3 linked regions of the Rattus norvegicus genome follow. The protein of the gene in region 2 interacts with the protein of the main gene of each other region in a biochemical or structural test. Links are inferred from orthologs where the notes say so. Each region holds a gene or a part of one and is shown on either strand. Other genes may lie near its edges.

What was found. The genes of interacting proteins can lie anywhere in the genome.
Region 1: the proteins of Sos1 (region 2) and Nck1 form a complex in vitro, tested with the Homo sapiens proteins (2 studies listed by BioGRID). The link is inferred for Rattus norvegicus from reciprocal best matches to the Homo sapiens genes SOS1 and NCK1.
Region 3: the proteins of Sos1 (region 2) and Itsn1 form a complex in vitro, tested with the Homo sapiens proteins (2 studies listed by BioGRID, with this or other methods). The link is inferred for Rattus norvegicus from reciprocal best matches to the Homo sapiens genes SOS1 and ITSN1.

The regions. Positions count from the first base shown.
Region 1 is NC_086026.1:109,954,925-109,960,935, forward strand, and holds the start of Nck1 (cytoplasmic protein NCK1), read right to left. Parts: upstream 3,324-6,011; 5' UTR 3,207-3,323; intron 3,164-3,206; exon of another isoform or gene 2,209-3,163; intron 1-2,208. UniProt on the Homo sapiens protein: Adapter protein which associates with tyrosine-phosphorylated growth factor receptors, such as KDR and PDGFRB, or their cellular substrates. Maintains low levels of EIF2S1 phosphorylation by promoting its dephosphorylation by PP1.
Region 2 is NC_086024.1:20,284,040-20,290,043, reverse strand, and holds the start of Sos1 (son of sevenless homolog 1), read right to left. Parts: upstream 3,928-6,004; 5' UTR 3,915-3,927; coding exon 3,828-3,914; intron 1-3,827.
Region 3 is NC_086029.1:44,462,077-44,467,869, reverse strand, and holds the start of Itsn1 (intersectin-1), read right to left. Parts: upstream 3,324-5,793; 5' UTR 3,091-3,323; intron 2,437-3,090; exon of another isoform or gene 2,179-2,436; intron 1-2,178. UniProt on the Homo sapiens protein: Adapter protein that provides a link between the endocytic membrane traffic and the actin assembly machinery. Acts as a guanine nucleotide exchange factor (GEF) for CDC42, and thereby stimulates actin nucleation mediated by WASL and the ARP2/3 complex.

The sequences.
Region 1 (6,011 bases), on a different chromosome or scaffold from region 2:
TCTAAAAAACAAAGGGCTAGATTCCAGTGTTTTAACAATGTTCCATGACATCATGACATAAATCCATATAAAATTAAAAAGCAAGGGAAAGAAAGATGTCAGCTGGGGAAAAGGATGTTTAAGGAAAAAGCACAGCAATAAATACATATGCAAACACCATCACAAAACCCATCACTTTGTATGCTAACTCGAAAAGAGGGAAATGCAAAAAAAAAAAAAAAAAAAAAGACAGATTAACATAAGTAACAAATTTTTGACAACCTTTCCTCAAAAATCAAAATTAAATTTCTGGGCGCTGGAAAGATGGCTCTGGTTAAATTCAAGTACTATTCTTGCAAAAGATCTAAGGTTGATTCCAGCAACTATATCAGGAGACTCATAAGTAAGTGCCTGTAAGTCCAACTCCACCATATCTGACACTTTTTTCTAGCCTCCTTTTTCAGGCACCTGCCTTTGTGTACACATATCATGTCCTCAACATACATACATACATACATACATACATACATACATACATACACACACACACACACACACACACACACACTTTTTAAAATGTTTAACTATTTGTAAAAACTATAACTCTGGTTGGGTGTCGGATGCCTCTGCAGGTAAAGGTACCTGCTGCCAAGCCTACAAACCTGAGTTCAAGTCAAGGGACCTATGTGGTGGACAGACAACTGACTCCCTCAAGCTGTCCTCTGACTCTGCCATAAGCACATTGCCTGTCCACCCACCCCCCACATACACACACACACACAAACAAAAATGTAATAATCTTTTTTAAAAAATAGAACTTTAGACTGATGATATAACTCAGTGGTTTATGAGAAGCCATGGATCTGACCCCAAAACTGAGGGAAGGAAAGAGTCAGGAAGGGGAAAGAGAAGAGAGGGGTGAGGAAGGGAGGAAGGAGATTATGGAAGGGAGACTTTTACTTTGCTACTTTAGTAATCTGCAGACAACTTTCTTCCTGTGCTAGGACAGATGGTTCAGTGGTTAAGAGCTCTAGCAGAGGATCTCCGTTCTGTTCCCAGAACCCACACCACATGCTGTGCGCTTCTATGTAGGCAAAACACTCAAACGCATAAAATAAAAATAAACTCTTAAAAGACTGAAATCTAGACGAAAGATATTACTAGTGTCTAAACAGTAAAAATATGTTCAAAGTCGTATTTTAAGATCAGCACAGGCAGAACACATTTGTGAACACCCAGGCAGAAAACCCAGCTAGGGCAAGTGAGCAGTTCAGAAGCGGAAATTTAAACAATATATAAGAATAGGAAGGGAAGGTTTTTTTGTTTTTTGTTTTTTTTTTTTTAAAGAAAACGACTACAAAAAAATAGGACACTGTTAAAGGTTTATGTCTGGGTTACTGAAAGCATGTTACAGAATGTATCACCAAAGAAAGACAGCGCATGCATCAGTTTTGCAGAGAAGACTTTTTAAAGATTTATTTATTTTATGTACATAAGTACACTGTTGCTATCTTCAGACACACCAGAAGAGGGCATCGGATCCCATTACAGATGGTTGTGAGCCACCATGTGGTTGCTGGGAGTTGAACGCAGGACCTTTGGAAGAGGAGTCAGTGCTCTTAACCACTGAGCCATCTCTGCAGCCCCAGGGAAGACTTTTAAGTTTTATTTCTCAGACAGATTAAAGTGAGAATCATCCGGGCCTGTCAAACTTTCTTCAAACTGTTGGATTTGTTAAATGTTCAGTAATTTCTAATTTTAAGTTTCCTTCAATTTTACTTAACAGTGAAATAATCATTGGTTTTCTGGCATTGAAACCATGCATTCTTCCAAATACTACCAAGGTGAATTCATTTTTTTTTTCCAAGTTTTCCTGAAAAGGAATTTATTTACAACAATAATCACATCAAGCCTTGAACTCTAAAACTAAGTTCTCAAATTATGAAAGTCAGCAGCATAAACTATCACTCAGTGTTTAATAAAAGCAATACATTGATATGCCAACTTGTTTACATAGGATCTGTAAGGCTTGGAAAACCAAAACAAAAAATGCTTGACAGGGAGGCAAGTCTTTTCAAAGTTAATGTTCATACATACAGCTGAGACATCAACACAATGCATGCTTAAGTTATTCTAGCCAATTCCTACAGAAGCTCTTCCCAGAGAAAACATCCAATGTGAGCATGATGAAAAAAGTACTAATCAGCCAATGCATATGCTTTGACTTACTATCACGATGCGGAGAGAAGGTCTACTTAAAAACAAGACTGAAAATTATCAAACCAAACTGTCTTCTTGGACTCTCTGTTCATGTGGTGACGTCGCTAAAGGCTGAAAGCTTGCAACTGATTTCCAGGGTGCTTAAGAAATCGTTAAGGCTGATTGATCATCAAGCTATCAAAGTAACTCTTTTGAAAATGAACACTTCTTGCAAAACTTTACCCGTTTTGGGCTGAACACTGATCTCACTGCTCCCCACCCAAGATGGGGGTCAGGAAGTTTTCTTCATCTCGTTCTTTCCTAACTCCTATGGATTCTTACCTAACTAAAGGGCAGTATTGTCTTTGGGTGATTTCAGCTCCGCTCGACATTAACCAAGCGATAATGTTAAGATGATGTTACGGTCCTCAACCCTGAACAAAAAACCAGCTTCCTTCCAACCCAGCTGTTAACAGACTGAACCGAACTAGTGCGGAAACCCGTACGAAAACCAACCCAATGGGCTGTTTTTCCTGGACCTACCCCACCTCAACAGCCACCCCAGACAACCCCATCTCTCCTGCTCTGGAACGGGAGGGGGAGGGGAGGGCGCGCCCGAGGATGTCCCCCCTCACGGCTTCCTCCGGTTGGCGGCTGGAGGTGAGAGCGCCCTTCCTGCCTGCCAGCCCGCGTCCCTACCGTCCCGGCCTCGGACACACCACAGACCGCGACAGGGCTTTCTGAGAACCGCCGAGACAGCGCGCCGCACACTTGCCTGCTCGGCTCCCCGAGCAGGGCTCGTAGCTCAGGCCAGAGGCCGCGCGGGGTCACCGGGCGGCACCGCGGACACCGGAGCTCCGCCGAGCGGCCTCCCCGCCCCCTCCGCTCCGCTCCGCCGCCAGCAGACGGCGCCCCCGGGCTAACTTCGCCGGGGAAGAGGAAGCGACCAGAGACTAGCAGGCAGCGCGGACAGACTAGGAGACCGAAAGGACGGTGCGTGTGTCCGCACGCGGGCAAGGCCATCTCACCTTCCCTCCGCCGAGCCCGCGGCTCCAGTCACCTGAGGACTGCACCGGGACGCCACCGCGGCTGGCCGGATGCCGTTACCGCACGAGGCCTGTGCTGCGCCGCCGCGTAGCTCTCAGAGAGGGGCGGGGCGCGCGCAACCGGTGGGCGGACCGTTGCGGGCAGGAAACCCGCTCCACACCTAACCTAATAGGCTCCTTCGCCTCCGGCGCCCGCCCCTGATTCGTCAGAGGAATGAGCCGCTCCCTGATTGGGCGAACGGGCTTGTCACTCAAGCGCGGCGCTCACTGTTCAGTGAGCTGAGGCTGCGCAGCGTTTGGACAGGAGAAGTTGAGGTTCGCTGGGCCCCACTGCCTTTTTCTCCCCCAGCTTCCTCGGTAGCTGGTTACTCTCCGCCTCTCCAAGCCCTACTAAAACCTGTCATTATAATCGCTCATTAATGTCGAACAGTGGTCCCGAGTTCAACCCAAACTACTCTGGTTCCTGCTTCTGAAAGGGCCGACCACCTACAGATCTTAGGGACAGAGAGCGACAAAGAAAAATCAAGCCTCGGAGAAAATGTAAAATGTTTGTTAACTAAAACCACAACCAAAATAAGCTGTGTGAGGAACTTCCGAGTGCCCTGGCGCGTGGGTAGCCTTCACTCTCCGCTTCCAGTTCTGTGAAAAGCACTGTTACCTTTGCCCTTGGGTTGAGCGTGGCAGTGGCACAGCCCCAGCCACCCGCTAAGCCATTAAGAAATCGATTCTCCTTCCCAATTAGCCCTACAGCCACCAATAACCTGCCTCACTATTTCCGAACACCCTTGCTACTTAGTATAGCTGTGGCACCTAAAAGCAGCACTCTAGGTTAGGTAACTTTATTGAAACACGGGTTTTGCCTCCGGCGTAGCTGCACCCATATACCTAGATTGCAAAGTCTATTACAAGAGGAACTGTGTCAGCACCCACCCACCCTCACTCCATGCCTAGCACAACATCATCGTCAATAATCGAGGAATTAATACATCTTCCTTTCCCCTTTTATTCATTTTTATTTTTTGTGTGTTCGAGTGTTTGGTGTACATGTGTACTTGTGTATCATGTGCGTGCCTGCTACCCCTGGAGGCCAAAAGAGGATATAGGATCCGCAGAAAAAAAGTTACAGATGGTTTTGAACTACCCTGTGGGTGCTGGGAATGAAACTGGGGTCCCTTGGAAAACTGGCGCTCTTAGTCACTGAACCACCTCTCCACCCCTTCCTTCCGCTGTAATACAGGTCCTACCGGTAAGTCCTAAAAAGTTACTTCTCTGCCTTTAACCTAGTTGCATGTTAATAGATATGGTGGCCTGCCCTAGGTAAAATACAAATTACCTGTAGCGCCTTCTTATCCTGAGTAAGAAAAGTAGGTGGTAAAGCTGGGCAGAGGATACTCTGCCTATGTTCTATTGTTAGTATCAAAAGTAGGAATGCAAATCATATATTAAAAACCATACATACTGCAGACAAGGGGGTGGTACATGCCTTTAATCCCAGCACTTGGAAGGCTGAAGCAGATGGATCGAGGCCAGCCTGGTCTACAGAGTGAGTTCCAGGACACCCTGGCTACACAGAGAAACCCTGTCTAAAAAAAAAAAAAAATCATACAGACCATTACACATTACACCTGCATAGACAGGTTCAAGTTTTGCAAGTTCAAAGCCAGCCTGATTCATATAGCAAATTCCAAGACAGTCAAGGCTACATAGAGAGACCCTATCTCAAAAGCAAACCAAAAACCATACAGGCAGCTCACCCCCATTAACTCTGAAGGAGGATATTTGGGGTAGTGTAGAAAGGAAATAAGAACTCTCCATGCCTTAAGACCTTTCCCAGAGAACTATTGGCAGCTTATGGTTAGAATGACCTAGTTTAGGGGTTGGGGATTTAGCTCAGTGGTAAAGCGCTTGCCTAGGAAGCGCAAGGCCCTGGGTTCGGTCCCCAGCTCCGAAAAAAAGAACCAAAAAAAAAAAAAAAAAAAAAGAATGACCTAGTTTAGTGTCCCTATCATACAGGAATGATTAGGAGGAAGAAAATCCTACCTATCTTATCTTATGGTTATCAAGAAGTTATCCCAGACTTGATCTTCAAATGTAAAAATCAGTGGGCCATACTAAACAAATTTAACTTGTGGATTTAGTATGGTTGTGCTGTTATAGGAAAGAGTCTGCTTTGTATGGTAGGTGCTGCAGGAGGCACTGTATATCTCAAGTCTACACCAGTGTCAGATACTGAGATTTAAACCAACCCGTATTCTATGCTAAACACATCAACATTGTATCTAGGGACAGATGGGCATTAAGCCACAATGAGAGGGGAAATGTGTAGTAAGACTATTTGCGCAAAAAGAAGGGTTTGGGAGGGAGTTACCTAATAGAGAGACATTGAGTAATTGTAGTATGTTGGTGGAGCAGACACGGTGGCTAGAATTGAAGCAGTATGTCAGGAGAGCTGAGGTCCTTAGAGTTTATTCTATAGGAGGCGAGCGGTCACTAAAGAGTTGTTTGTTTTTTCAGTACTTTAAGGATCATTCTGATGCTTTCTGCCTCTTGTTTCTGCTGAGGAGCAAGTTGCTATTTAAAAAAACAAAAACAAAAACCCTTTCTTTGATGTGTGTTAGATGTTTTACTTACATACAGTTCCCTCGGAGATCAGAAGAGGACACCAAATTCCTGGAACTGAAATAGCAAACAGTTGTATGCAGCATGTGGGTGCTAGGAGCCCAACCTGGGTCCTCTGAAAGAGCAACAGGTTCTCTTGATGGAGGAATCCTCTCTCCAATCCTACAA
Region 2 (6,004 bases):
AATAACAGGTCTGCACCATCAAACCTGACTCACACAGAAGTCTTTCTATAGATGCACTTCATCTATTCTATCTCAGACCTCTAGATTGGCTGCATCAGGTCTCAAAACTGGACTGCCAACTGGAGAAATAGGCCTAGACAATCCAAAAGGCCTTTAAAATCAACATGTTCCAAACCATTTCATTACGTCACCTGTCTCTCCATCCCAAAGTTCGATGACTAGCTGCAAGCAAGCCTGACTTCCTTAATATCCTCCAGTCCCACAATGAAGTGCTAGGTCTGAGAGTTCTGCCTTTTCAACACTGCTCCCAGAGCACCCATCCTAACCCAAATGTGTACCTCCTCTCAGACGGAGTCTCCTGCTTCTCTCTCTCCCTCACCTCCTCTCATATGGAGTTTTCCTGCTTCTCTCCCTTATCTTAGGCCTCATTCTTCCCCTTTCTTGACCTAAGTGAGTTTTCTAAACTTCAAACCAAGTGTTACTTTCCTATTTAGAACACCTCATTGACCAGGGTAGTTAAGCCAAGACAGCTAAGCTGCAAGTTCAAGACTAGTCTGGGCTGTAGAATGAGACTGTCTAAAAACAAAAGCCCTGGCTTAAGAACAAGTCCTCTCTTCAGACATACCCACTACCACATCCACTTGGTCTTTTTAATATGTCATTTATCCTTAGTACCAAGGGCAATACTTGTTCTGAGACAAGCATCAAGTATTTGTGGGATGTGATAAATGTAGAGGGAAGACACTGTGGGCCTAATAAATACATTCAGGAAAAGTAGTAGACCTCTCTAGAAAGATTTTGATACGAAATCAAATAGGAAGGTCAGGGTAAAGCCGTCTTAAAAATTCCATGCTAAAACACCCAGCTTTAACTTAAAGGCCATCAACAATTTTGAACAAATGTATAACACGTTCAAAAGTACTATATAACTTCTGAAATATGTAAAGGCAAGTGGACTGGGGGTAAGGAACTCAACTGAGAGGCTACCACAGTAACCTTGGAGAGGAAACTCTAAGCAGTTAGAAGAGTAGAGTACAAGAGCATGTTAGAGGTTGATAAGTGTAAGGTTTTGCTTGAAGGCAGGCAGCAGTACACAGACAGGAGTCCTAGGCTTCAGTTTTGAACCAGTCAAATACAAGTTTAAAGCCATTAACCAAGAAGTTAGAAACTGGTGGTGGGGGTCAGTTTTATTATGAGTATCCCCTTACACACTTGGCAACATTTCCAAATAACTTTATCCACTGGCAAACTAAAAGTAACATATAATGGCTAGAAATTCAAAATCCCAAACCAAAAGGAGGAGGAAAGAGTTGAAGATTTACTAAGTTACAATGTTGCTTTAGAAGCTTTAAAAAAATGTAGCAACATTTCTAAATAATTTACTTTTAACCTCTGGCAAACTCAAAGTAACAGACAAAGACACTTGTTCAAAATGAGTCCTAACAGGTGTCAGGTACAGCACCGGTGTAGAAGTCCCATAGGGTAGCTAACATGAATATGGACAAGTAAATTAGGATAGGACACTAGGAAGAAACAATGGAGCACTATCCAACGCAACCCTGAGCGCCTGAGAAGAATCTCTGAGGCTGAGTAGTAGTAGGCCAGATCAAATGAGCAGACTGTCCAAAAAGCTTCAGCTAAGAAAACACACTGGTGGGCATTATACAAGCAGTTTAAAGTCTGAAGATTTCAGGATAAGGACACACCCACACAAAATGTCCAAGGACGCATCTTCATGAAAAGTCCAACACACATACAATATTCAAGTTTTAAGCTACAAGAGCATATTCTGAATATGAGAAATATATCCAGCCTTGTCTTGGGTGTCCTAAGAGCATTGCAGGTGGGAATGTGAATGAGGAGAACCTCATGCATTAGGGACCCTGTAAACTCCCTCTTCATCTCACTTCTGCAGGGACGGCTCTGCTTCAAGCGGAAAGCCAGCCAACCGCGAAGCTATAGAACACAAGCCACACTATGGTGAACTGGGGACAAAACCCTTTCCACAGAAGGCAGTCACTCACAACTCCAGCAGTTTTCTGATGGTGAAAATGTATGGCAAGTCCATCTCTAATTCAAGAAAAAAATAAGAACTCAGATTGTATGTGACATTTCTCATCTTTTTTTTTTTTTTTTCAGAGCTGGGGACCGAACCCAGGGCCTTGTGCTTGCTAGGCAAGCGCCCTACCACTGAGCTAAATCCCCAACCCCGACATTTCTCATCTTAAGATACTGGCAACTGATTACATAAAATGAAAAACAAAACAACGAACAAAAAGACCCAGAATGCCAGCCACACAAAATAGGTTTCTGCGAGGGCCACCCATGAGGCAGGTTACAGTAGTCTGCCAACTTCTACAATGCTCTTCCTACCACTCCAAAGGATCCTCAAGTGATATTGTGGAGGTCTCCTTAGAATAGGAGCTACCTGCTTTTAAGCCGAATACCTCAAACTGGTAATGTTCTGTGAGAGCTTTTGTACATATAAATCAATTTTTCTGTCTCATCTTGTCCTGTCAAGATACCAAACTTCTAGCGTCATGAGGCATACTTCTCCAATTCTACAAACTAAGCAGGCAAGTGTGCAGGTAAAGCCAAGGTAAAAATGGACTGAAGCCTCATGGGATCTCTAATGAACAAAGTATGCACAACGAGGTGACCTCTTTGATTTCCTTAGAAAACCTAGAGATTTGTAAGACATTTGAGGATAAAAACCAGTAACCCAAGTCTGAAAAATAAAAGCAAAGTCTCCCAAAAAAGCAAACAGTTTTCCAGCATAAGATACCAAGAGGGGAAGGGGAGAACAGTGCAAAGGAGAAACTAAAAGGTGCTGGCCTCTGTGGAGTATGAAAACACTTTCTGGTTATAGAAAAGCTCTGCATGGTACAGCAAACTCTGTACTCAATACTCAGTAGTAACAAAACTGTATTTTAGCAAAGAGAGCATGAAAATCATCTGAGCAACAAGAAATCGAGATTAAAACTCCTGGAAGAGTAAAACAATCTCTACAGGTAAGGCAAATAAAAACAAAAACCAATCTGGTTTTAAAAATCCATTCAAACACACCTGTTTCAGATGTCTTGGTACAAGCGTTGCTTTAGAAGCTTTCGAAATGTATCAACAGCCACGGATAACTACTGGCAAACATAAATTCAAAATGCCAAACCAGACAGTTGCTTTAGAAGCTTTTAAAATGTAGCAAATAATTTCCAAATAATTTACTTCAACCTCTGGCAAACTCAAAGACACAAAGACTAAAGATGCAAAACACCAAACCAAACGAGGTTCGAAGATTCTCAGCTACTTCAAAAGAACCAATCTGAATACAGTGGCATGTGCATCACTCCTGTAATGGGAGGGGGGAGGGTGTCAAGAGAACGGGGAGTTATGACTGAGGACGAGCAAAACCAAGCAGGCCATGTTCTTACTGGCAGGCAACCTCGCAATTACTTAGGCAAGCACTGTGGCCAGGGCACTTTCGAGCCAGTGAGAGCCCTGGACTCCTAAAACGAGAGACTGACCGCAGCTCGGTAAGATCGAGAAGGTAGGCAATGGCCTTCTTTGACCTCCACGGAAAACCGAGGCTCCTCCAACCCTCGCCTCGGTGCTTGGATGATCCAGACCAACCCTCCCCGACTGTGTGCGGCCTTCCCACGCACCCCGGGCGAGTGTCAACAGCTGGAGCAGCGGACGCGGGGAACCTCACAGCCTGAGCAGACCTCCCCGAGACCCGAGACCGGGAAGAAAGACCGCGGTGGCGCCCCGCCTCCCCGCCCTCACCCGGCCCCGAGCGGACTGGGGCCGGGAAGCGGGTTCCGCGCCCCTACCTTTTTCAGCGCAGGCACCAGCAGCCCCCGCCACTTGGGCGCGTTCTCCTCGCTGAAAAACTCGTAGGGCAGCTGCTGCGCCTGCATGGTGCCTGCGGGGCGCCTCGGGACGGACGGAGGGGCGGCGGCTCGCGGCGCGGAGAAGGGCCGCAGCCCGCGCACAGCCCGGCCCCCTCGGGGCGCCGCGCGGCCCGGCTAGCGCTGGCGAGGAGTCTGGGGGGCGAGGCCCGCGGCCGGGCACCCACCGGACACGCGCGCCGCTCGTCGAGAGGCAACGCAGCCCGGCGGTGGCGGCGGCGGCATCCCGCACCACCGCCCCGGGGCAGGCCCCCCGCTCCGCCCCGGGCCGCCCTCCGCCGGGGCTGAGCTCCCCCGCACGGCCTGGCCCTCCGAGAGACGGCGCGTGGAGGGACGCTCGGGCCGGTGGCGCCCGCTCGCGGGCGGGGAACTCAAGCGAGAGGCCCAGAGCGGGGCGGGCCGGGACCGGGATCGGGTGAGGAAGGAGAAGGGCCCGAGGTCGCTGCCGGGGAATCCGGCCGCTCGGCCGTCGTCGCTGCTGCTGCCGCTGCCGCCGCCGCCGGTGTAGCGCTGGAGCTTCCTACTAGCAAACTGAACCTGCTCGCAACTGAGCATGCGCCAGCGGCCCAGGCCGGTTCGCTCCGGGTTTTCCATCTGCCCGCGGATGAGGAGGGGTGCGCGCCAGAGGCTGGGGAGGGCACTCGCAGAGGCGGGGCTGAGGGACCCTGAAAGCGAACCCGCGACCCGAGAAAGTGTCTGGGTGTGGGGGCCTGCGAGCAGGCAAAGCGCCCCCTTTGTGTGGTCCGGCAGGCGGGGAGCCCATCCAGTTCTAGGAGATCCTAGGCCCTGTGTTTTAGAAAAGGGGTGTGTGTACTTTGTTCCCAGCACGAAGATAAGGAGTGCCCTGAGCATGCACTGTATACTAAACAGATTGCACAAAAGATAGATTCCTCTCACAAAAAAACGACTGCTCAGGGTTTGTCTGGTGGGAGGAGAGACTGCTTTTTTCCATCTGCCTTTCCATGCCATGAGAACGGATACGTGTAGTATTTATTGATCGTGTGTCTACTCAAACCCACGAGCTTTTATTTGTGGATTTAGTCGTCCTGCTTGGGATCTTTCATAGCTTCAACTGGATAATTAGCTTCTGGAAGACAGAGATTCCCCCCCCACCCCTCACCTCGCCTTGGTACTCGACCCAGAATAGAGACGTGAAAATTGCGGAATGCTATAAAAGCAGTATCTATGAATTGTCCTTCCATCGTGAGGATGGAGATGCTTATTATAGTGGCACTGTGCAGCGCTATGGCACATTGTGCCTTATCATTGAACTCTTTCTGAGTACAGCGTTGTTTTAATTCTCAGTTTTCATTTCATAGATGACGAGACAGTTGGAAGAACCAGCCTGGGTTCAAATTGACATTAGGTCTTGCTGTTTTGAAGTACAATAAACAAGATCTCACAGAAGAAAAAATGTTTGAAACCACCATCTTTTAGACCACCTTATAGGGTCTGAATGAAATCTTCAAGTCTTTCCTTTTATAATGCATACACGGATTTACATCTTTTTAAAAATTCCCCTCATTTTAAACGGCTCAACAACAGTTTGAAGTCCATCCATTGACCATCAGAGTAATAAGACAGCAGAGCAGGCCTGTTGGTGAAATGACTCAGCCAGTAAAGGGTACCTGCAGCCAAGCCCGAGAACCCGAGTTCTGTCTTAGAGACCCACGAGGTGGAAGCAGAAAAACTAACTCCCAAAAGTTCTTCTGGTCTCTACACGTGTTCAGTGGCGGGTGTGTCAGACACAAGATAAATATACTTTTTCAAAAGAGAAAAGCAGAGGAGTGATAGCTTAGGAAGGAGTTAGAAAAGGAGTTTCAGAGGACAACTGATATATCAGTTATTTTCAACAACAGGTTTATGTGGTCTCAAATGACTGAACCAAATCAACTATTATAGAAAACTGGTCCTTGGCTTCTCACTATTAAAACACATTTCAAGCTTCAGGCAGTAATGTAGCCACTGATCCCAGCCCTCAGGAGAGAGGTAGAGGCAGAGGAGCAAGGCCGATCTCAGCTGCATGGTGACCAGCCAGGGCTACATGAAATGCTATCTCAAAATCTAAAGAACACACACTTCAAAGTTCTGCGCAAAGC
Region 3 (5,793 bases), on a different chromosome or scaffold from region 2:
ATCGGAGTGAACTACTGCTTAATAACTGACTGTGTTTAAGTGTAGGTCACGGTGGCACACTCCTAAAATCCCAGCATTTAGAGGCAAGGCTGGGTTACTTAGAGGTATGCAAACTCCACTACCATTCTTCCCATGTTTAGCCAAGGAAACTGAGGTGCTGAGAGGTTTGATGACTGCATCTGAGTCATTAACAGTATGTGACGAGGTCCCGTATTAGCGCTCGCTCGCTCGCTCGCTCACATAAAATCTGTAATTTATGTGGTAGACTCTGTAAAAGGAGAGTGAAGGTCACATACCATGAAAGTCATGTTGGAAAGCGTACCTACTGTCCACATTTCCCACAAGTGATTCTTATGTTAGGACTACCATCATTTATGAAAGGGTAGGTGAAATGATTAGACGCTACATTAAATTTTGAGTCCTTAAAGCAACATTTGCTAGACCTCCTTCCAGCATGCCATCCAGCAAGACTGTACATTCAAGACTGGTCAAGCTTAGAGGAACCAACTAGGACACAGCGCTTATGACTACTTGGTGATGTGACTAACTTGGCAGGTGAAGACTTAAAACACCAGGATCGCTGCAAAGTGGTTCACCCATTCATTCTGCAACTATCCAAGGGGCACTGGTTCAGTCTCTAGGAAGACCACAGTCAACTCTGCTCTTCTGAAACATTTATCACAACATGTAAAACTCCTGCCACTTGACAAGCTTGCTATCATCCACTTTGGAGACACTCAGTAAGAAAGAAGCACGCCGCCAAGGTTCTCTGAATCTGCCGGCCTGGAGAATTTCCTGGAAACGGTACTGAAAATATACTTCCCACTGTCTGACTCTGAGGTGGAGAGGCAGAGACCTGTTAAGCTGATGTAAAGATATCTGAATGCCAGACTCGGATGGAGCCAGCAAGTGGAGTCATTCAGGAGGGAGTCACTCAAGAGAAGTCTGACATAAACCCAGCCGGTAGTCACAAGTTTAGCAAATTAAAAGGAGGAGACTGTAGCATCTGCCTAGCCTCACAGTCTCCAGGTTCAAACGACAGCACCACACACAAAGACCAGTGTGAGGCTGGGGTTGTAGCTAGGTGCTAGGGCCACACACTTAGCACTCTCCAAGTCCTGGTTCAAACACCAAAAGAGAAAAGGCACTGGCAGAGGAATTTACTAGGGCCTCCCTTTTAATCTCTTCCAAGTGTTTTAAGGGTGTGTCTCAATCTAGGTATTTGGGGAAAGATAAAGAATGCCCACAGGAAAAGGAAACAGCTAGTCACCAGCAAAAGAAAGACAGAAAATGCTGAGGGACAAACATTTCAGGGAACTAACTTGCCACCACTCATTTCATGCCCTATTTCACAATGCTCAGCATCTGAACAATTCACAGGGTTCCAAAGTACATTAGAAATGTGCTCAGTTCCTCTCTTACTCAGGCAGAATAATAATAGTTTTGTGGCAGTACCGCGATCCTCAGCAATTTCAATAACAGACACTTTTTTAAAAAATAAATACCACTTTTTTAAACATGTACTCTCAAAAAGGCTCCTTACTGTGGCTCCTTACACATAGAAGTGTATGGAGTATCTATGCCCTGTCACCAAATCAGTGTCCTTCACTTCTTCATTTAAATCCTTTATAGTTTCCTGACTTCTTTACATGTCTCCTACAGAGAGATGCTGCTTTCTTATAAGTTCTTAGGTCATAAGGAAACTCACACACACATACAAAACATTTCAATCAAACTAGTTTTAAAAAAAAGTTAAGTAGCAAAAATGGTAACCATAATGGTTGTTGAACTGTCTGCACTTTTCACTGTAAACGTCTTCTAAAAATAAAAGTTTTATCCCAACAAACAGATACATCCCTCCAGTTAAGAGCATTTAAAGAAATGCCCTGCCAAGCAGCTGGCCTGTGGGCTCCTGGCCCTAGCTCCTGCCCTCACATCCTGTCCACCACATAATCCATGAGCAAGCCTTTCTCTTCATCAATTCATCGGGATTAGTAAACCGGCCTCCCTGAAAATAGAACTGATATTTTCCACAGGCATGTATTCCTATGCTTTCACTATCTATGCTATCAGACTCTTTCTTTATGCTCTATGTTTCTGACCACGAAGTACCAAATGAAATATACCAACAGATAAGCACAAAAGAACCGTATCTGGCCAGAGTCTGCATGCACTTACATTTCCAGGTTGGTTGTTTTCCGAATAGCAGCGGTGAGGGCAAAGCCGCAAACTTTCACATTCAAGATGCTACCGAATACCTCTACACCCTCAAACTGCAGCAAGAAGCCACTAATCTATTCCTTCAAAAGCAATGTCTGTAGTCTGATTCACAACAATAGATTGCTCATAGGCAAGAGGATCAGCGAAGTTGTCCTCCAAACCAAAGGGAAACAGAAGTGAAGGGAGGTCCAGCCAGCTCATCCTTGCTTTTCTTTTCTTTTTTCTGGGAATCCGGATTGCATTTCCTGGTCCCCCCCCCCCGCCCCCGCCCCCAAGAGGGACCGCAACTGTGCCCTGGGTCCATAGCAGACACCCAAGTCAGTGCGTGCGCACGGAGGGCGAAGCGGCCGACCAGGGGACGCGCGCCCGCTGCAAGGGGAGCCGCTTTCTGTTAAATGCCATCAGAGCCAGCCCCGGCCGCACCACTTCGGCCCGAACGGCATTGACCGCCCTTCACTTGACAGGGTATTCCAAGGAGGCGCCGGAGAAAAAGGATGAGCCGGGGACTCGAGGCCGGGGGCACCCGCGGGCGGCGCGATGCGTCTCCCGCGAGCTCGGGATCCCCGGGAGGCCGGGCCGGCCCCCCACCCTCCGGCGGCCGAGGGCAGAGGGGTCAGCGGTGGAAGGGACCGCCCGCCGCGATGCCCCCTCGGGAGCGCCGGCAGTGGCTGCGGACGCCCATTCACCGGAGCCCGTCCCGCGGCCGCCACCGCCGCGGCCCGCCCGCCCCGCCGCCCCCGGGAGGATGAGAAAGACCAGGCAGAGCGGCGACGGCGGCCGCGGGGACGCGCGCCCGGCCGCTGGACCCGACCCCGGGCGGCCATCGCCGACCCCCGCCCGCGCGCCAGGCCGCCCGCGTCAGCTCCTCACCTCATCTCCGGGCGGGTGCGCGCGGCCGCCCCTCACACAAATCAGTGCAGCCCGCACGCCGCGCGGAGGAACGCAGGGTCCGCAGCCGCGCACACCATCCCCGCCCGCCCGCTCGCCCGCCTGCCTCTCGGCCGTCCCGGAGCCCGCTCGGGATGCTCCCTCGCGAGCCTCCGTACTACGGAGCAACCAAGCTGCGCGCCCTCCCTGTGCCGCTCCACTCCTCTCGCCCTCCGCTCCTTCGCTCCCTCGCTCCCGCCTATCTCCTCATCTCCCTCCGCCGCCGCCCCTCCGCCCACAGCCAGCCCTCCGCTCCACCCATAGATGGGCGGGAATAACCGCCTGCCAATCGGACGGCCGAGACCACGCCTTCTCATTCGTTCGCATGACTCCGCCCACTGGGGAAAAAAGGACTAGCCACAGGAATTGGAGGTGTACAGAGTGGCAGCGAGATAAACCAATTAAGTGGTTCGGGAAGCACCCTTTTTCCTCCCAGTCCTTGTCTCGTCCCATGAAGGCATAACTAGAGGTTTCTGGTCTATGCGTACGGAGATTTTTGTTTCATGATTTGGCGCTTTGCTCTTTTCTATGCGCGACAGTAGCTAGCATACATTTAACTAAATTGAAGGTTTTGCAGAAAGAACGTGGGAACGAGAGGCGACAGAGACAAAGACTGAAGAAAGATGGTAGGGAGTACGGTTGGAATGAGGAAGGGTGTGGCCTTTTACTCTAATTTGCATAAAACGGAACCCATCTCGGCAACGCCCAACTTCTCCCAAGTATTGGTGGTCCCTGGGATGACTCGCCTCTCTACAGGGAGGAGCATGCTGGGAATTGTAGTTCCGGGTTCGGTTGCTATGGCGCTCGTCACAGCCTCCCCCAGATCGGTCATCCTGCGGTAGTGACGGGCAGTCCGACCAATGGCAGTACTGTTTGGACCTACGAAGGCGGGCTCTCTGCAGAAGGACTGGGAAGGTGGCGGCGGCGAAGGCGCTGGCGGTTGAGGTTGCTCCAAGCCAGGTGAGCCAGGGAAGAACGATATGTGTCTCGTGAAATGGGACTTTGGGCAAAAGATGGAGAAACGTCTGAAGGAGTTGTCTAACCTTGGGGAGATTGGTGCTTCGCATCACACGCCGACCTCAGAGCTGCTCCTGCTCTGGCCTAGCTTGGCTGAGGCCGCTGAGGGGCGGGTAATACTAGATTTGACGGACAGTTCCTGACACTGGCTAGGTTTGGATTGTGGGTCTTTGCTTCATCCTCCGCGTTTATGTAGACAAAGGTCTAGAATTGCCTTTCTCTCAGTTGAGTCCTCCCCACCCCAGCTTCTCCCTACCACTGTTTCTGATGCTGTCTCCGTTACTACTTCCCTTGTCACCCTTCTTACCCTTTTCTTGGCATTTCCAATAAGCGGTTTCCTAAAGCAAGCAAGGACGGGTGTTCACAGTAATGGGGCCTTGGGTCAGGAATTGCCTGCTTCATCCAGTAGTCCATACTTGAGCCATACTAAAGAATTATCCCAGGGTCATGAGGAGGCTCAGATACTGATTCTGGATTTGGGCCTGATGGTCTGCATTTGTTTTTTGTTTTTTGGGTTGTTTTTTTTTTTTTTAAGAATATTTTGAGTATGGGCATCTTAAACAAGCTCCCAAGTATAGGCAGTCCACAGTAGATGCTGAGTTTTGCATTGCCAATCCAGGAAAAATGTTCTAGGCACCTAGGTGCTTTTAGATTTCCTGGGAGCCACATTTGGACAGTGTAAAGAGACCACATGAAATTAATTTTTATGTTCCTTTTAAACCAGTTTCTCCACATATTATTTCAACCTTTAAAAGAATCAGATATTTAAATGAGACCGTGTGTTCTTTAAATACTAAGCCTTGCAGATCTGTTGTGCATTTTACCCTCACAGCATACCTTCATCCTAACTGCATACCACTCAAGCGCTTAGTAGCCACCTGTGGCTATTAGCCGCCGTACAAATCCAGATGATACAAGGGACCATTGCAGAAACTCAGCAATGTTATTCAGGTGACTGCCAGTGACCATCCCCTTGCCACTCTGTTACATGGGCTCGGAACTACTTTCAAGATACAAGACTGAGCTTACAAAAATACTAGGAAAGAGTAACATTTATTAGAAGCCAGCTTTCATAATGCATACTCAGTCCTTGTAGCACCCGGCATCCTATTGCGGGATCCTGTGTCTTGGGAGTTCTACATCTTAGACATCAGCCACTGCAGTGTGTAATGATTACTGACTTTTTCTAACTAATTGCATCCCTTCTTCTGTGTCAGCATGTAGAAGGAGATGAGACACTCATATTTGAAACATTATTCCCCATGTAAAATCAAGCTGCCCAAGCCTGGAGAGCTAGCTCAGGATAGGAGTACTTGTTTCTCTCCCAGAGGACCAGGGCCCATAGCCATACAACCACATGTGTAACTAGTTCCAGGGGGTCTGAAGCCCTCTTCTGGTCTCCAGGGGCACAGGGTACACAGGTGAAATGCAGACACATATGCAAACGAAACACCCATACATACACACTTTTTATAAGTTTTTGTAAATTACAATCGAGCTGCCTGGCCAGGCATGGTGGCACATGCCTTTAACCCTAATGCTTGAGATACAGGGGCAATCAGATCTCTATGAATTCAAGGCTATCCTGGTCTACAGAGCAAGTTCCAGGACTTTATAGAGAGACCCTGC